Linked DNA regions of Arabidopsis thaliana. The gene in region 2 interacts genetically with the main gene of each other region. Each region holds a gene or a part of one and is shown on either strand. Other genes may lie near its edges.

Evidence for each region.
Region 1: of ICU2 (region 2) and CLF, changing one enhances a phenotype caused by changing the other (phenotypic enhancement), as found in Arabidopsis thaliana (one study listed by BioGRID).

Annotation. Positions count from the first base shown.
Region 1 is NC_003071.7:9,952,138-9,962,451, reverse strand, and holds CLF (SET domain-containing protein), read right to left. Parts: upstream 7,361-10,314; 5' UTR 6,883-7,360; coding exon 6,820-6,882; intron 6,543-6,819; coding exon 6,450-6,542; intron 6,366-6,449; coding exon 6,064-6,365; intron 5,960-6,063; coding exon 5,798-5,959; intron 5,661-5,797; coding exon 5,576-5,660; intron 5,439-5,575; exon of another isoform or gene 5,405-5,438; coding exon of another isoform or gene 5,381-5,404; coding exon 5,246-5,380; intron 5,146-5,245; coding exon 5,098-5,145; intron 5,026-5,097; coding exon 4,954-5,025; intron 4,873-4,953; coding exon 4,172-4,872; intron 4,071-4,171; coding exon 3,920-4,070; intron 3,821-3,919; coding exon 3,597-3,820; intron 3,518-3,596; coding exon 3,386-3,517; intron 3,261-3,385; coding exon 3,170-3,260; intron 3,071-3,169; coding exon 3,023-3,070; intron 2,920-3,022; coding exon 2,791-2,919; intron 2,697-2,790; coding exon 2,619-2,696; intron 2,530-2,618; coding exon 2,335-2,529; 3' UTR 2,066-2,334; downstream 1-2,065. Other genes in the region: AT2G23390 (acyl-CoA), read left to right, coding at 1-30, 279-400, 505-571, 781-831, 1,048-1,100, 1,267-1,477, 1,562-1,732, 1,825-1,884; AT2G23370 (cyclin delta-3), read left to right, coding at 7,434-7,536, 7,673-7,756, 7,858-7,932, 8,015-8,057, 8,135-8,192, 8,289-8,456, 8,537-8,599, 8,679-8,773 and 3 more; AT2G23360 (filament-like protein (DUF869)), read right to left, coding at 9,725-10,234. UniProt on the Arabidopsis thaliana protein: Polycomb group (PcG) protein. Catalytic subunit of some PcG multiprotein complex, which methylates 'Lys-27' of histone H3, leading to transcriptional repression of the affected target genes, mainly abscisic acid (ABA) responsive elements.
Region 2 is NC_003076.8:26,774,218-26,781,838, reverse strand, and holds the start of ICU2 (DNA-directed DNA polymerase), read right to left. Parts: upstream 4,887-7,621; 5' UTR 4,846-4,886; coding exon 3,739-4,845; intron 3,647-3,738; coding exon 3,476-3,646; intron 3,391-3,475; coding exon 3,307-3,390; intron 3,219-3,306; coding exon 3,144-3,218; intron 3,058-3,143; coding exon 2,993-3,057; intron 2,821-2,992; coding exon 2,730-2,820; intron 2,638-2,729; coding exon 2,452-2,637; intron 2,220-2,451; coding exon 2,056-2,219; intron 1,948-2,055; coding exon 1,833-1,947; intron 1,556-1,832; coding exon 1,379-1,555; intron 1,303-1,378; coding exon 1,189-1,302; intron 945-1,188; coding exon 825-944; intron 746-824; coding exon 431-745; intron 351-430; coding exon 261-350; intron 1-260. Other genes in the region: AT5G67090 (Subtilisin-like serine endopeptidase family protein), read left to right, coding at 5,518-7,621. UniProt on the Arabidopsis thaliana protein: Polymerase alpha in a complex with DNA primase is a replicative polymerase.

The DNA of each region.
Region 1 (10,314 bases), on a different chromosome or scaffold from region 2:
GTTTCTGCCATGACGGAATTGGCATCAAAGGTATGATCTCTATATGAAATCTATCTGTGTTATAGATAAAAACAAGACTTGGAACAGGATTAAACTTGTGATCTCATGGTATACAGAACTAAGGTTCTACTATTTATTAGCTATCCTTATTACTATAGGAACAATCTCACATTTTACTTTCTTGAAGCTGTAATGGTTCTCTTGTGTTGAGTTCTGCTTTCAACATATGCTATCTGCTGACTGCTGACAGACTAGTTGTATTCTGTGGGCTTTGGCAGTTACAAGTTTCATCTTTGCACATTACATTTCCGTCTGGAGCTGAGTGGGACAAATTGAAAGAGAAAGGCTTCTCACAAAGGATTGGAATGCAGTACCACTGGAAAAATCGTGATTATAAAAAGTAATTGAAGTTAGTTGCCAGTATATTAGTTCTTAACAATGACTGGATTGGAAGTAGTTGCTATTATATTTTGTTCATTTTTTTTTTTATCTCTAATACTTCAGTTTTGACGAGTTCTTGATGGACATGAAGCAAAGCAAAAGGAAAAATATCCGACAGGAACGCAAAAAGGTTTGTTTAGTTTCCTCTTTTCATATCATCCTCATTGTGCAATTTATTCTTGTCTCTTAAGTTTCTTTGCTCATGTGAATAGTAAAATGGAATGGTTACTCTTTTTTTCTTCCCATACAACTTTTGAATTGTGGCCTTATTTCGTTATCCGTTCCTTGTGGCGTTTTTCAAGCACGCTGCTGACTTCTAATGCTCCTTTTCTCTAGTAGATTGGTACCCAGAATTTGAAAATGAGACGGCTACAAGGAGATGATATAAAGGTATGTAACTGAACTGCCACGAGACGAATTTGTTGTAATTGATTATGCCTGGCGGTATCTTTTCATTTTAATGGCTATAAATAATCAACCATGGGATATCAATCTGCTACCAGAGGTTAGAACTGATGGCACATGCTATAAAGGACATTATGGGGCTTTTATATTAATATGTGTCTTAAAAATTTGATTCATCGTTTGTGCCTAATGTTTTTGCAGGCTAGGCACTGGGATTCCTTCTATGATTTCTACAGGAACACAACTGATAACAAGTTTAGTCTTTATCTTTGAGACATTTTTGTTTTTCTTATCATTAGTACACATTATGTGTCTTTGTGCATAATAAACATACTTACATTCAATTACCTGTCATCGTCAAGTGTATGCATTACCTGTGTTTGTCCTTTCACATGCTTAACGATTTCCGGCTAATTTTAGATGGGGCACACCTTATCTCACAAGGGATTTCTTTCACGACATGGCATCGAAGTTGGGAGACAAGGTATTGCTTGTTTTAGCTGAAGAAAACGAGGAACCTGTTGCAGGAGCATTGAATCTCATTGGAGGAGATACTCTATTTGGGAGACTATGGGGATGTCGTCCCGACTCCTATTATCCTAGTCTCCATTTTGAAGCATGCTATTACCAGGTTGGTCTTGTTGTTTCAAAGTCTCAAGAGTTTTCGCCGAGACATACTTGATTAAAACTCACAAACTGATAATGGGATTCATAGGCAATTGAAGCAGCGATAGAGCTTAATCTGAAAACGGTAGAAGCTGGAGCGCAGGGTGAGCATAAGATTCAGCGAGGCTACCTTCCCGTTAAAACATATAGTTGCCATTACATATTCGATGAAGGTTTCAGGCAAGCCATAGACGAGTTTTTAGTGCGCGAATCAAATCAGGTATGTTTTGAAGTTATGGTGTTAAAAGAGTATATAAACATAGCTATGTAATTGGATCATCGACTTAAACAATGTAACTTTGTGCATCGCAGATGGATTATGTCATCAGACTGATGCATGAAGATGGACCCTTCAAAGAGAAAATAGAATAGATGCATTTATATCTTGGTTATCGCAAACATTCTTGTATATCTTAATTCTTAGGTTTATGCGTCAATGTACATTTTAATTTGGCTGCTCATGTTCGTTTTCTGATTTGGTTTTGTTACTTTCTGATCACCAAATGTACACTGACGCCTAATTTAATTTATATAGATTGTGATGTGTGAGGAATACCACATTGATGTCAGCTCCAAAGCTCACCAAGTTTCTCATCTGTAATTTAAAAACTTTAACCCGAGTCTCAGTACAATAAAATGATAATCCAGAAATGTAAAACGAAAAAAGGAAATTTTAATCCAACGAATACAATTTTTCTTTAGACTCAGCAAAATGTATGAATTTGTTTCAATGTGTTCTTCCGTGTGGAGAGTAATGAGGATTAAAGCGTTCTTCCACCTGTAACCAAAGAATTGACAAAAAAATGGTTGTTTCTTTTGTTGCTAAGCAAGCTTCTTGGGTCTACCAACAGAAGGTGTAACATTTTCGTCTTTCTTAGAACCAGGAGCTTCAGGTTTTTTGGCCCAAGCTGGAGCTCGATCTGGCTCATACCGGTAATCGTAAAATAGTTCTTCTCCAGCCAGTATCCTCTCTTTTGCGAAGATCCCCACCCTGTGATCTCCAGCAACCATGATGACCTTGAACAGATACAAAGATTTTGAGGAAAAACAGAACATACCCATCATGCGAAAACCGTATCTTTAACTTGCACTTTTCACATTTTTACCTTTGCGTAACAGTTAGGTTCAGGAGAATGGTTGGCGAATTTCAGTTTATCTCCTTTCCTGTAAGCATCTAGCACAAACTGCAGCACAATCCAAAAACATTTTAAAATTTGAAGACAACCTAGAGACTAGAGAGAAAGAGAGTTGGGACATTTCAAAGCTGCTGAGACGTGCCTGATCGTTTAGATTGAAGAGAAAAGAGCAGTTCTCGCGATCGTATATCTTCCCGCGTTTATCTGCCTCTTTATGTGAGATCAGCTCTCCTGTGTATTCCCCAAGGTATTCATGCTTACTTACACTGTTCTGTAAGAAGGAAAAATAATTGTTCTTAAGGCAAGTTCATACTCTAAACATAGATTAATCTTTGAAGGACTTATCAGTTTAACAAATTTTGAACCTAATATACCTTTAAGAAAGCTCCCCAACCAGAAACATCAGATATTCCAAGTAAAACCTGAAATTAACATAAAAAAGAGGAGGAAATTTAGCCATTTCATGTTTAATCATTTGATTGCAGATCATAGATATTTAGTTAACAAGGCTAAGTATTTACCCTTTGTTGTTGTTTCAGGAGCAATTTCATATTCCTGCACTCATAATTATCGCCTCTTTGGCTTGGGACCCCAAGCGAACCATCCCCACCACTACACATTCAAATTCATTCAGACACAGTATAAGTGCATCTGGAACTACTAAAAAAAAAGTTGCATTTCTTGAGCATTTTCTAAGAAACCAATTAGGATGGATTTGCATCCCCAATAAGACTTACATGACCCAGCAGTTTCTACAAACATCTGGGTCACATTCCCGATCTGCAGCAAAGCATGGACACTGGCGGCTTCGACACTGACTTTTGGCACAATGACAACCTCTAAACCTATTCTTGCAGCTCTTTGGGCAACTACACAGAAAATATAGTTTGTTGGTAATGAGATTCAAAGCTAAGAAATACAGATGTGGATAATCATAGATTACATTACCCGCAGTACTTCTCGCAGCAAGTCCCGTTTAGCAAACAAGGACATTCCTTCCCACAAGCAATTTTGCAGTTACATGGATTAAACTGACGGCAGGGCTGGTCTTTCTTCTCAGTAATTCTTTTCCTAATTGAATGATATGCAGCAGACTTCCAGGTATACTTCAAGCGCCGCACTTTGCCTCTCCTACGTAGAAATCTTGACCTTCTCCTCACTTGGTTATTAACCTGGTTAGTCCAGAAACTAAAGCATTAAATCCGAAGAGAAATAAATCGATTTTATCAGGAATTTGTAAACAAAGTCAAAAAGGTTTAGTGTTAATATACCATATTTCCATTGATATCGAACTTGGAAGAGCCATCAGGATTCAATCCATCACCTCCAAAGAAGGAAGCTTTATTTTCCGAGCACGTCATGTATTGGAAGACCTCCCAACATGATTTGAAACCACTCAAAAGATTTCTAGCAATCAAGCAGCTGCAAAGAAACAAAGAATCCATATGACTATATTCCACAAATTGAAAAACCTGAAGCAGAATGATAATTTAGCAGTAGCTAAATACATCAAAATTACCCACCTATTCATTCCAAAAATCTCAACACCTTTATCAAAAAGGCTTTTCTCAAGTGGTCTCCACAACTTATTTGTAGCCAATCTTCCTCGAGATACAGTTTCACCCATAAACTCTTCTTTCCTTAGACTTTCATCACTACCCGGCGCATCAAGCTCTGACGCAACCTCATTTGACTGGCAAACAGGAACGTCATCCTTCACAGAATTATTGGAGACTTCGGCAGGAGTGCCATTCTTCCTTGACTTCCCGGAGTTCCCAGATTTTACATGCTTCTGAGAAGAGGAAGTAGCATCTTCATTATCTTTATGTTTTGCATCGCTGGGTGAACAACTTCCACTGGCGATGGAATCACTATCCGAGGCTTCTGTCTTCTTCTGCCTCTTCTGAGTCTTACGAGGAACTCGCTCAGCAACTCGGTTTTTGTTCCTCTTACGACCTACTCGTCTCCCACTACCTTTCACCTTTGGCGATGATGAAACTTTATCGGAATTGGTATCCTGCTGTAGTCCATTCTCTGAGTCACTTGTTTCTAGTGCGCACTTTTCATTAGACGATGCACTTTCACTTGGGAAGGTCTTTGGTTTTCTCCCATTAAGTTTGCTGGAGAACTTCGTGGGTGTGGTTTTAGTACCTGCACCATCTGATGAAGTGCCAGTTTTACCTTCAATGGTGCCATATCCCGGAAATCTTCCAGACTTGAGAAGCTGATAAATTGAAAACAACGCTTTTTGTTAAACCAGTCTTTCTAGGAGATGAGCTTAGCAACGAGAAAATAACAAATTTACCGTTTTATAGCAGTTTGCACCACAGGTTAAATTTTCATCTACAGGAGGACACCATGGAGCTGGTTTCTCAGCCTAAAAATCCATAAAATTAGATAAGTAACACTAAAGTTATAGTAAGATTTTTTCGGTTGGCACTAAACTCACCGGAAAAATGAGATCCTGTGAACACCCATGAAGCCGGCAATCAAATACCTGCATAGATGCATACAAAAGTTAAAAAGAGACCAATGTTTGCTCGATCATTAAGCAATAACCCATGAAACATTAGCCTGAGAAAATCAAATGGACTAACAAGGCATCTACGGCAGAACAGGTTATCGAAAGAATCTAATGCTCCTTCCATATCTTTGTTGAGAAGGGAGCTCTCTGCTTGATTATCGCCACTCTCGGATACTTCTTTTTCCTTCATAAGCACTCCATGTCTTGCCTGTATAAGATGGTCGGTGTTCATATCTCTGCAAAAAGCCAATTGGGAAAGGGCTGGAACAATACTAATTGGATTTCCTTAAACAATGCATCCCTCACTCTGTTTTGAAATCCTACAACTGAAGTGCTTGATTCTAAAGAAAATAGCACATGATAGTTCACACAAGCAATAGGCAGAGAAAAAAGTTGTTGATACCTTGATTTCACTAGTACTTCTAGACAAGAAACTTGCTAGTTCCGCCAGGACTGAGTCTGAAAGACCTAGTTGCTCAAGGGTCATGCTGAAGAAACGAAGGGAAATTTAATCCAACAATATAAGTGAGAACAAACCAGCATAACAGTTGACATAGCAGACAAGAGATTCACACTAAGAGACCAAAATGCAAGAATGATTAAACTCCTGCCATTTAATACTAACCGAATAATATAATCTTCAGGCTCCAAAAAATCTCTTTTTTCTTCTTCGTCGTCAATGGCCTCCTCTTCACTATCACTGCAGATAAGCGCTTCCCCGCCAGTTTGATCATAATAAATTCTCCTTCGACCCACTACAGACTGGTCTTCAGTCATTCTTTGATTTCTGCATCATTTCAAGAGTGATTATAACGTTAAGATACTATGCGAGGGGCTTACATTTCAACTTGAATATTTTCAAGTACTCTTGCGACATTAATGTCAACATACCTGTCCAGAAAAACCCATGTGGTATAAGGTGACAAACGTTTGATATCAGGCATTTTGATAGGACGTAAGGAAATTTTGACAGGGACACTAGATCCTTGAACCATTCCTGAACTGGCAGGTCCATCTTCTACATATCTGTTGTTATTACTTTCATCGATTCCGCTTTTCATACCTGGCGAATCTCTTTGCCTCTTAACTAAAAGATCACTGCCATCTTTACAGCTACCTCCTCGTTCCATAGAAGACCTCATAAAACTTTGAGTAATAGCAAACAAATTCTTCTTGTTTTCATCAATCCTTTTCTGGTTACAAACACATCAATTTCTAACAATCAGATTCAGAAACACATAAAACATACAAAAAAAAAACTAAACAAAAATAGCAACCTTTATTGATATACACCTATCAGCTGCAAGCTTCTTCTTTAGCGATTCTATTACTTCTGATACTTCCTTAGAAGCTGGACCTCTCTCCTCCGCCTGAAACATCAAAATGAGGTTCCTTTACACAGTGTTCAATGAGAGAAACTATCAATTGCAGCAAAAATGGTTCCTAAACGAACCCAAAAACAACTTCATATCTCACAATCCAGCAATCTCTAGATCTAAAAACGAGCATATAGAGAAGCTCAAACAAGCCATCGAGTTTCGTTCTCTTCACTCAAACTAAAGCAAATCAAAGTCAATGCCTCAATAGCACAAAGAAAAAAGTTCCATTTTTAGAAAGTAAGAAAAAAAAAAAAAACGATTGACGCACCGGAGAGTCTTTGGGTGGCTCCGATCTGGTGGCCGAAGAAGAAGGCGAAGCTTCTGACGCCATTGTCAAGAAACCAGATCGGAACCGAAACAAATGCGGGTCCGGGTTAAGATCCGGGTCGCGAAATCTGAAATGTTGGAGGAGAGAAGGAATTTGGCGGGTCGTTATAAACCCTAAAAATTTATCTTCAATTTTGTTTTTATTTTGGATCTTTTATCTTCAAATCCAAAAAAAATTTCGTTTTACTTTTAAAGAACATTGTTTACGAATTGGGAAGCGTGTAAATTAGAAACTTTTTCCAATTATTTAAAAAAAAAAAAGTTGGTGGGAAAATAGCGACGTGGCAGCTCGATTTGAATTATCTACTGTACATCTCCGGCGACGGTTTACCGGAATATCACGTAGCTCGAGACAACGAATCTACTAGAGTTCGAGACTGGTTCTATATCAACTGAACAAAACAAACACGAACGTTGCTGGGCTCTGATTTAATGGGCTCTTAAACCCTATTTGTTTGGGCTTTATTTTTTGTTTTTTTTTTCAGCAACAGCTTTTCGAAGTCTCTCTGTAATCTCATCGGACGAGAAACAGTACGGCGATCGGAAAACTCTGAGATGCATCGCGGCGCGGCGGTTTTCGGACGGAAACGTAGACTGATACTTCTCCATGGCAGCAGAAACTTCGCCAGATCCTTTTGCTCTTCTTCTTCACTATCTGGTGAGAGGGATTCACATCTTCGCTATTTCATTTGCAACTTCTGGAAGCTGTGCGATGGCTTGAGATTGGTTTATGATTCTTACGGTGCCGAATTTGAACAATCAGTGAATCGAAGTTAACGATTGATTATGTGCAGAACATGAATGTTTCATTAAGGATATAGCAAAAGCTCAGCCTCCTAAGCATCTGATGCAGCTGCTGAATATATTCACAGCTAGAGGTAAATCAATCTTACACTGACTTGCTGATCGTATTTTCGAAGTTTTTGTTTGTTAACTTGCGGAATGGTGACTTTTGCTTGTGGTAATGACATTGGATCAGGTAAATCCATAGTTTCTCCTGGTGCCAAGCAAGGCTTGTTACCTCTTACTATTCCGTTGGTGAAAATGAGCCCGGGTATGATTCTGGACTTGTACATAAGTTCTTATCTGAGGTTGTAACACTTTCATATTAAGTTTGTATGACTTTCCTTTTTCAGGTTCTTCAATTGCTCTATTACGGTGGCCAACAGCTCCTTCTAGGTTAGATCCTCCTTGCTTTTTTAATATCGTCATGTTTCTCTTCTTTTGTAGCTTATCATTGTTTGTGGTGTTTGCAGTATGGAGATGCCTGTGGTGGAAGTTCAGAAACATGGGGTTTGGTTTCTAGCTAATAATGTAATGAGTCTTTTTATAGCATTACTGATGCGTTAATTTAGGGTTATTTTTGTTGAGTGTTCATTCTCATATCTGACTTCATTGGCCAACATTCAGGTTGATCAGTTCATTCACAGAATATTGGTGGAAGAAGATGTTTCCAAACCCGAAGAATGCAGCCAAGAAATCTTCAATGCTGCTGGTGAAGCTGGGAAGAAACTTTACAGTAAGGGTGACTTTGCCAGTTCAAGACTGATGGATTTAGATGCCTATCTTTTAAGAAAGGTACATATATTGAGCCTGTTAATATCAGAATCTTTTCTGCACATGGATACTGGGATATGATTATTAGCTTTGTAATTCAGGTTGGATTGTTTCCAGATTCTCTTGAACGAAAAGTTATTCGGCATATCGAGAATGGAGACCATGTAAGGCTAGTAATTATATCTATCCTGTTGTAGTTGACGTGTTTTCTCTTTTTAAACTATCTTCACGTGCTAATACAAGGTTTCAGCTTTGGTGGCTACCGAGTTTTATACAAAGAGAGGGAACTTTCCCGGATTTGCCCGGCCATTCGCTTTCAACGCAAAAGTTTTACTGAAGTTCGTATGATCCTTTCTCATCATCCCTCTTTCTCCCTTGTGAACGACCCCCAGGTAAATGCTTACGTCCTTTCTAGAAAACTCTAAGACCTCTATATATTTTGTAGACTTGGGCGTAACTTAGAAGCGAAAGACGCAGCTAGGGGTGCTTTGAAATCTTCGTGGTGGACCTTAGGATGCAGATATGAGGTACAATTCCTTGACTATCGACAAGCAATTTTGGTAATCGAAAAGAGAAGGGAAAAAAGTGTTGAACATATGAAACGGGTTCCCAGGAAATTGCTCAAATAGCAGAGTGGGGAGAAGAGCAAATTGCGCAGTATAAGGAGAGAGTTACAGGAGAAGGAAAACAACGGGATATAGACAGGGGAAAGCCAATGGCTCAGGTTTGTTCTTTGCCTGTATTCATTATCAGATACTCATATCATGCTTATGGATACAAAGGCTTGAAACAAAACTTGTAATTCTCAGGCATCTTTGGACGAGGCTGCGTTCTTACTGAATCTAGCGTCACTTGAAGGGACATGGGACGAATCACTGGAACGGGTTGCTCAGTGCTACAAGGAAGCTGGACTTAACGACATCGCCAAGTTTGTTCTGTACAGAGATTGAGAAGTCTCTTTTAAAGGCCACAATTTGTTCTTTTGAGACCTGAGATGACATTATATCAAATGATCTTATGCATTTAGTGTCTACGTTGAAGATTTACATTAACCCTGCTAAAGATTCATTGGGTCAAGATTACTGATTGTATCCTTTCTGAGACTAAAAGTGGAATAAAGCAGAATGATCATCTTATAGAGTAATACTCTACGTGGAGATTATATATATACTGCCAAAAAAATCTAGAAAATGACAGTTTAGTTTGCATAGTTTGGGTCTTTGGGACCATATAAAGAAACAGGATTAAGGTATTAGATTATAGTCTAGATGACAGATGCCACCATCTTCTTAGTTGGCAAATGGATTAGGGACCTTCTTGCTCTTACCTTTCTTATTTCTCCCCAACAGCTTTCTCCAGAGGCTCTTAACTCCGCCGGTCTTTTTCTGAGGAACAATGGCAAAGCAGTTTGAGTCGGAGCCTTTGCTTTTGTCTGAGAGAAGAATCTGTTCTAGTGCCTCAATGGTTTCATTGTAAACAGAGCTGTTTCCTCCCTTTCCGTTTTTATCTGCTGCTTGCGGTTTCTGATCCTTGGATTCCCCGGTGTTGTGATCTTCTGCCTTCATCTGATCCAAAAGAGATGATCTCTGGCTGGTCAATCTCTTCTCTGGTTTAGTAGTCTCATGTGAAGGTTGTGCATCAGGTAGGTTGTTCGATTTGTCTGTAACGTCGTACATGAGTGTTTCTGAAAGTAAAGCTGTTTCCTTTGAGTTAGTCAATGCCTTGAGCTGCTTTCCCAGGTTTAGAATCGTCTCTTGACACTCGGCCAACTTTTCTGAAGCAGCAGCGATTTCCAATTCCTGAATCATCAAACACATAAAACAGATTGGTCTTGGACAAAAACAACTCTCAATGTAATGGTATCGATTTTCTTCTGCTT
Region 2 (7,621 bases):
CTACAGAAAGCAGCAGTCACCAATACAATACTGACCAGCTAGGTCGCATTGTTCTGAGGATTTCTCGCATATCCCTTGAGAGGTTAGGAAAAGAAAATGAGGCAAAATATTTTGGTTGTTGAATTTTTCTTTCAATTAATTTCTGATTGGGTTGGGGTAATTTATAGATTTGACGTTGGATAACCTATAACATATAGAAAATATATACGGAATTGAAAATAGTCACAGTAAAATGCAAACTCGTGTAATGATGACTATACCTTTGGAAGAATTCCAGGTGTCTGACTCGAAGGTAAACGAGGAACTCCATCTTCTGATCGTGGTATAGTCGTAAAACAGATATTGTATTCCTGAAAATATCATGACTGTTAACTACCAAGCAGGCGGAAACATCCACCAAAGGCTTGAGAAATAGAAACAATCTGCTAACCTGTATAATAGAAGGGTAAAGACTATTGAAATCCAGAAGCAAGACATATTTGTCATATAAGCCTCTCTTTGGCTCCAAGACCAGTCCACCAGCGTAGGCTGGACCTTTTTTTGTTTTGCTGCCCTTAGACGGATCATTCTCCAAAGTCAGGTCAGCATCCAATTCATCTACATTGCGGTCTTCTGGAGCATAATCCATTCTTCTTTTTGATGACTTTATTTCCTTCATACGTTGTGAAATTTTGTCAGGGAGAATGAACTTTTTCGAGTGGAATGTATGTAGTAAGTAGTATTCGATTCTCTGTGCCCTGGCTCCCTGGTCATGAACAAAAAATGCATGAGTCAGCACAGTAACACATATTTTCCCGGATGGGAGGGAGAGGGAGAGTCATTACTTGAAGTGTTTTCCCCCAAAGATTGCCACTTATGTTAGTAAGCTGGAGAGTGAGAGGAAGAACACTTAGATGAAACATGAGCTCCATGGATAACCATGCATCCGTCTCACCACATTCAATCTGAAAGAAAAGAAAATCAAAGGGTTATAACAAGCGAGCAATTAAGATGCAGTCATCACTCATCAACCTTAAGTGACTGCTGTTATCTGCAATCCCTTTACTTCTATGTATGACTGGATTATTTATTCTTCAATAGTTTGCACTAAATTGTTTCGCATGCAAGGATTCATAACCTATCGTCCCTAATGTGGTAGTACCAACTCATACATAAAACAGACATGACCGGGCTCATCGAAGAACTTACAAGTTCCACAAGTGTTTTGGATGACTGAAACATTTTGGGAATATCATTAGGCGCTATCTCTTTCCTGTCCCGGTTCAGCTGTGTCTTTGAGAGGTCCGTTAAAGAATAACTGACCTGCAAGAAACAGATGCTTATACATGAGGGACTGAGCTTCAACTTACTGCTTACAAGACCTGCAAGGGTATCATACCTCCTTCAACAAGTCACGAGAACACAGATCTGTATCACACAAGAGCCTTCCAGCAATACAAGACATGAGCCCTGGTGTAGCTCCTGACCCATAATTACTGTTTCCTTTAAGCTTAGGCATAAAAGAGCGTTTGAGTCGGCCAATTTTGGACCACATGCTACTCTGAACTTTGCAAGCCTGCACAATAGTAATCATTCAGTTTAAAGAACAAGACAGACATGTATATATCTCTATTACATGATCATCACAACAGGAGAGACTGGAAAAGGGACTAATGATGTACAATGCATGAAATAAAAACTTGCTGGCTTATTACGTTAAATATCATCTAATAGGCCTGGAAAGACAAGATCTTACAAAACTAATATGAAGCATATCATAGAAAGATAAGAAAATAAAATAAAATGAAAGACACAACCATTTTTCTTAATGGTAAAAAGAGATTTTGCTTTACCTGGGCCCTTTGAAGAAGAACATCCAGATCAAAACCTGAAATATTATGTCCCACAAGAATATCACTGTCCAATTTGTTTAACTCCAAAAACAATCGGTTCAGCAATGCTCTTTCACTGCAGTAAGAAAAGGAACAAAATATTGGACGAAGCCAACATGAATTGCCAAAGATATATGTGAAGGATCACAAACACAGCCTATTCAGTAACAGAGCTGCAACACACCTGTTTTCAATACTTAATACATTGCAGCCGTTCTTTGAATTTCTGTCAGACACTTCTTTTTTCCAACCAATTGGGTAACCGGTTCCTTCAGGATTCCTAACAACAGTGAAATGACTCAGAATACCAGATCTCTTTCTTTCTGGAGCTGGCATTGGAACATCAATCTGAAAGATCAAGGAGCACGCACATCATATGTCAAGCTACTAATGTAGACAGAAAGAGTGTCTTTTGAGCAAGAAACAATCGTCCAAAATGAGCGTTAATATAAAACCACATGGTACGAAAACCTACTGGTGATTGGTAATGCCATGATCATACATCCGTATTCTTCACAAAGACAACAACAACAACAACAAAAAAGGCTAAGAAGCATTGGTTAAATGTTGTAGAACAAACCTTGGCGTTGTGAAAGCAGAGAACAGATGCAGAAACAATTTCGCTTATGTTCTGCTTTTCATTGACTATAGTCTTTAAATTTATGGCTGTAACAACAGCAGGAGGGTGAACCACCTTTTCCTCTGAAACTAAAATAGTGATATCCTTGGGAGATTGAACAGTAACCTCAAACTTGCACCAACTCACCTGCACAAGTGGCAAGTCCTCTCATTAGCGGAGATAAACAGAACTAGAAAAATCACTGATTATATGATTATGGCACAGATTTAAGGTCTTACTCCTTCCGAAGGAGAGCAAGTAGAGAAGCTTGAAATTTTGAGCCAACAAGGTCCCATGATCTTCCTCTTAAGGATAAAATGCTCCAAAGCACTGCATATGAATTAACTTTGATAAGGATGAAAAAATTGCACCGTGCTAAATTGACATAGCCAGCATACATAGTTAACTAAGAAGCTTACAGAAGACCAGAAAATACAAACTTAACAAACCAACTACCAAACACATGGAAAGGTAATGAAACTCAGCAGTAAGAAGCTAGAACCTGGTATGAGACCCGAGCAAAGCGGAGAAAGACTCGCCTTTAAGATCTTCTGGAAGTGGACGATCCTGTTATAAAAGAGGAAACTTGTCATATTGTTGAGATGTAAGAAAACAGACGATTTTTAGTTTTATTTTGAACAGCTGAAATGTACCTTAAATGAATAATTTATCTTCAAAACATATTGTTCGCCAGCAGGCACATCAGGCCTCTCAAAAGCATAGTTTCTCTGATATTCGTACATAAAGAGCAGAATAGAGAGTCAAAAGAAAAGTATTGCTGCTAGAATACATGAAAAAGAAGTCAAATATCCAAACCTTGACAGGCGCCATGCTAAAATTTGAAACATTGAGCTGTAACAATTCCTGAGCAATTTCGTTTTTCAGTTTTGATGCCATTTCCTGAGAAGACACAGCCAAAAACAATGAACAACAGAGGAAAATAGATTGCTTCCTCTTAGCATGTAACAAAGGTAGTCAAACTCACATGCAATTTCCCACGGAAGGATTCAGGAGAAAGTCGAGAGTCTTTCACCTCTTGCTCGAGCATGATTAGTTCATGGGAAGGAAATATGGAATCATTTGGAATAGCATAAACACACCTCTGGATATTCTTAACTACCACACAGCAACTCTTGTAAGTATCTCCCATTTTAACCTGAATTGTTAAAAAAAGAGAGACCGAATTCATTCTCTAGATTAAGGCCAAAAGAACAACTTTAAAAATGAATGAAAAATCTAGAGATTCACCTTCCCAAACAGATATATTGTGCCCATGCTCGCACCAAAAGCCTCCTCATAAGCGTCAAGAATGAAGAAACGAAGTGATCCGTCAGCATCCAAATCAAATTCCGTTTTCCCTTCAGAACTAGAACCAAGCAAAGCCCCATTCTCAGTTCCAACTTTTCCCATCGCTTCCTTCCAACCAGCAGTGGCACTTAAAGCCGAATCCTTCTCTTTCATATCAATCGTTGCATTCAATGTAAATACCTCCTTGACACCTAACTCACTCTTCACTTCAGTTTTCCTTATCTTGTTTGATCCATCCTCTTTGACAATATCACTTCCAAGTAATTCCATAGTCTCAGAAGGAATGACTTCAGATTCTTTCATATCTTCCTCTTTCATCAATTCATTATCCATGGAAACAGAATCACCCTCATAAGTTGAAGGTGTTGGTTCAGACTCTTTCATTCCCATACTCGAGGCAACAGAAAACAGTTTTTTATTCTTGAAGATGGTAACTGGAACAGTACCTGGTAGTTTTCTCCTCGTATGCTTTTTTCTATCCGACTCATCTGGAGTAACCTGAGCTATTATCTCGTCAAGAATACCCTCATACTGTGCCTTATCAGTCTCCTTAACTTTCTTGAAACTCGAAGATGTGAACATAGACGAAAGTCTACCTTCACCAGTGATAGTAGCCGCAGCTTTTAACGCCGGATTCACCTTCTTAACCTGAGGTTGCTGCGTTTGCTCTTTCCCTTTCTTCTTCTTCTTAAGTCTCCCACTAAACCTACCACCGTCGTCTGATTCATCAGTCGATTCTGGTCCACTTGGCTTCGACCAATCCTCCTCCTCACCTTCGTCGAGATATCCCAAATCGCCACCTTCCCCATCTTCAACTACAAACCCGCGAGCCTCCTCGCGCCGCCGGGAAACAAGTGCGTCGTACTCTTCGTCATCAACGGTATCGAAGATTGGCTTCTGCAGCCTAATATCGTACCCACCACCTGACGCAGAACGGATTCCTCCTTGTCGAATCGCCTTCAGACGCTCGAGTGTGTCTTTCCTACTCGACGCCTCCGCGCCTCGGCTACGTCTTCGTCCAGTTTCCGTTGAATTATCGCCGGACATTTTTACAAATCCGGTCAATTTGGTGGTTTGGTGAAGCTGAGTAACTGATTTAGGTTTAAGAACCCAGATTAAGAAATGGAGATGGCGGGAAAATCGACACGATTTTGGCGCTATCCATTTGCCAAATCCGAATCCAACAAACAAACGGGTTCTCTTAATGGGCCTTACTCCTCTTTAATAAAGCCCAAAAACAAAAACAAAAAAGAAGCAATTATGAGACATCTATTTGAACGAGATCAAGCATCAGAGAGTTGTAGGAGCTACCTCGGTCTGTGAAGTAATTGCTGATGGAGTCCACCAAGTGTAGAATCTAGCTAAATACAGTAAAAGAATCAAAGTTTCAGCCTGAGTTCTAAGTTACTGATATTTACCGATTCGAAAGTCTAAACTATTGCTGAAACTACTAATAAGTTCATATCCAAAATCATTGTTCTCTATGATAAAGCCCAATTGAAAGAGAAAAGAAAAAAAAACAATGATGAGAGATGATGTGTTGCCGACCACCTAAAACCACTTTAACAAAAGCAAAAGCCAAGTAAAGGTTACATTCTCTGCAACTTTTTTGTCATAATAAAAACTAAACATCTATTAACAACAACACTATAATTGTTTCTTACTAACACCAAAATTCATTTCACTTTGAAGAGACCAGAGAAAAAAACTTGCTCAGACATGGGGATGACCGTCGTAATTATTCTGGTGTTCTCATTTTTCGTAGCGATTGTAACGGCGGAGACCTCTCCTTACATCATCCACATGGACTTATCCGCTAAACCGTTGCCATTTTCCGATCATCGGAGCTGGTTTTCCACAACTCTTACTTCAGTTATAACCAATAGAAAACCAAAGATTATCTACGCTTATACCGATTCGGTTCACGGGTTTAGCGCGGTTCTCACCAACTCTGAGCTCCAACGTCTTAAACACAAACCCGGGTATGTCTCGTTCACCAAAGATTTACCGGTTAAGCTTCATACCACTTTCTCTCCAAAGTTTATCGGTTTAAATTCGACATCCGGTACATGGCCGGTCTCGAATTATGGAGCTGGTATAGTAATCGGTATTATAGATACCGGAATTTGGCCCGATAGTCCCAGCTTTCACGACGATGGGGTTGGTTCGGTTCCGTCTAAATGGAAAGGAGCATGTGAATTCAATTCTTCTTCCTTGTGCAACAAGAAACTAATCGGTGCTAAGGTATTCAACAAGGGTTTGTTCGCCAACAACCCTGATTTGAGAGAAACCAAGATTGGCCAATACTCTTCACCGTACGATACAATCGGACACGGCACTCATGTTGCAGCCATTGCAGCTGGGAATCATGTTAAGAACGCGTCTTACTTCTCTTACGCCCAAGGAACCGCCTCAGGAATCGCACCACACGCGCATCTAGCAATCTACAAAGCCGCGTGGGAAGAAGGGATTTACTCATCAGATGTAATCGCAGCGATTGATCAAGCGATTCGAGATGGAGTCCATGTGATATCTCTGTCGCTAGGATTGAGTTTTGAGGATGATGACGACAATGATGGTTTCGGTCTAGAAAATGATCCAATCGCAGTCGCATCTTTTGCAGCGATTCAAAAAGGCGTTTTCGTGGTTACTTCCGGCGGTAACGACGGGCCATATTACTGGAGTTTGATTAACGGAGCGCCGTGGATTATGACGGTTGGAGCGGGAACAATTGGTAGGCAATTTCAAGGAACCCTAACGTTTGGAAACAGAGTTAGTTTCAGTTTTCCATCTCTGTTTCCTGGAGAGTTCCCTTCGGTTCAGTTTCCAGTAACTTACATCGAATCTGGCAGCGTTGAAAACAAGACTCTCGCAAACAGAATTGTTGTCTGTAACGAAAACATAAACATCGGTAGCAAACTTCATCAAATCAGATCCACCGGAGCTGCAGCAGTAGTTTTAATAACAGATAAGTTACTTGAGGAGCAAGACACAATAAAATTCCAGTTTCCAGTAGCATTCATCGGCTCAAAACACCGAGAAACTATTGAAAGCTACGCATCAAGCAACAAAAACAACGCGACCGCAAAGCTGGAGTTTCGTAAAACGGTAATCGGGACAAAACCAGCGCCAGAAGTTGGCACATACAGCTCAAGGGGTCCATTCACAAGCTTCCCTCAAATCCTGAAACCAGACATTCTAGCTCCTGGGACACTTATACTCTCTGCTTGGCCGTCGGTTGAGCAAATCACCGGAACTCGAGCACTACCGTTATTCAGCGGATTCAATCTCTTAACCGGGACATCAATGGCTGCACCTCATGTAGCTGGAGTCGCTGCGCTTATAAAGCAAGTCCATCCAAATTGGAGTCCATCGGCTATAAAATCTGCAATTATGACAACGGCTTTGACTTTAGACAACCCATTAGCCGTTGGAGCAGGGCATGTGAGTACGAACAAAGTCTTAAACCCTGGCCTAATCTATGATACAACTCCACAAGATTTCATAAACTTCCTTTGTCACGAGGCAAAACAATCAAGAAAATTGATCAATATCATCACGAGATCGAATATCTCCGACGCTTGTAAAAAGCCATCTCCATATCTCAATTACCCTTCAATCATTGCCTACTTCACGTCTGATCAAAGCAGTCCCAAGATCTTTAAGAGGACATTGACAAACGTGGGAGAAGCAAAGAGAAGCTACATCGTGAGAGTGAGAGGCTTGAAGGGTCTAAACGTCGTCGTAGAGCCAAAGAAACTAATGTTCAGCGAGAAAAACGAGAAGCTAAGCTACACTGTGAGATTGGAGAGTCCAAGAGGGT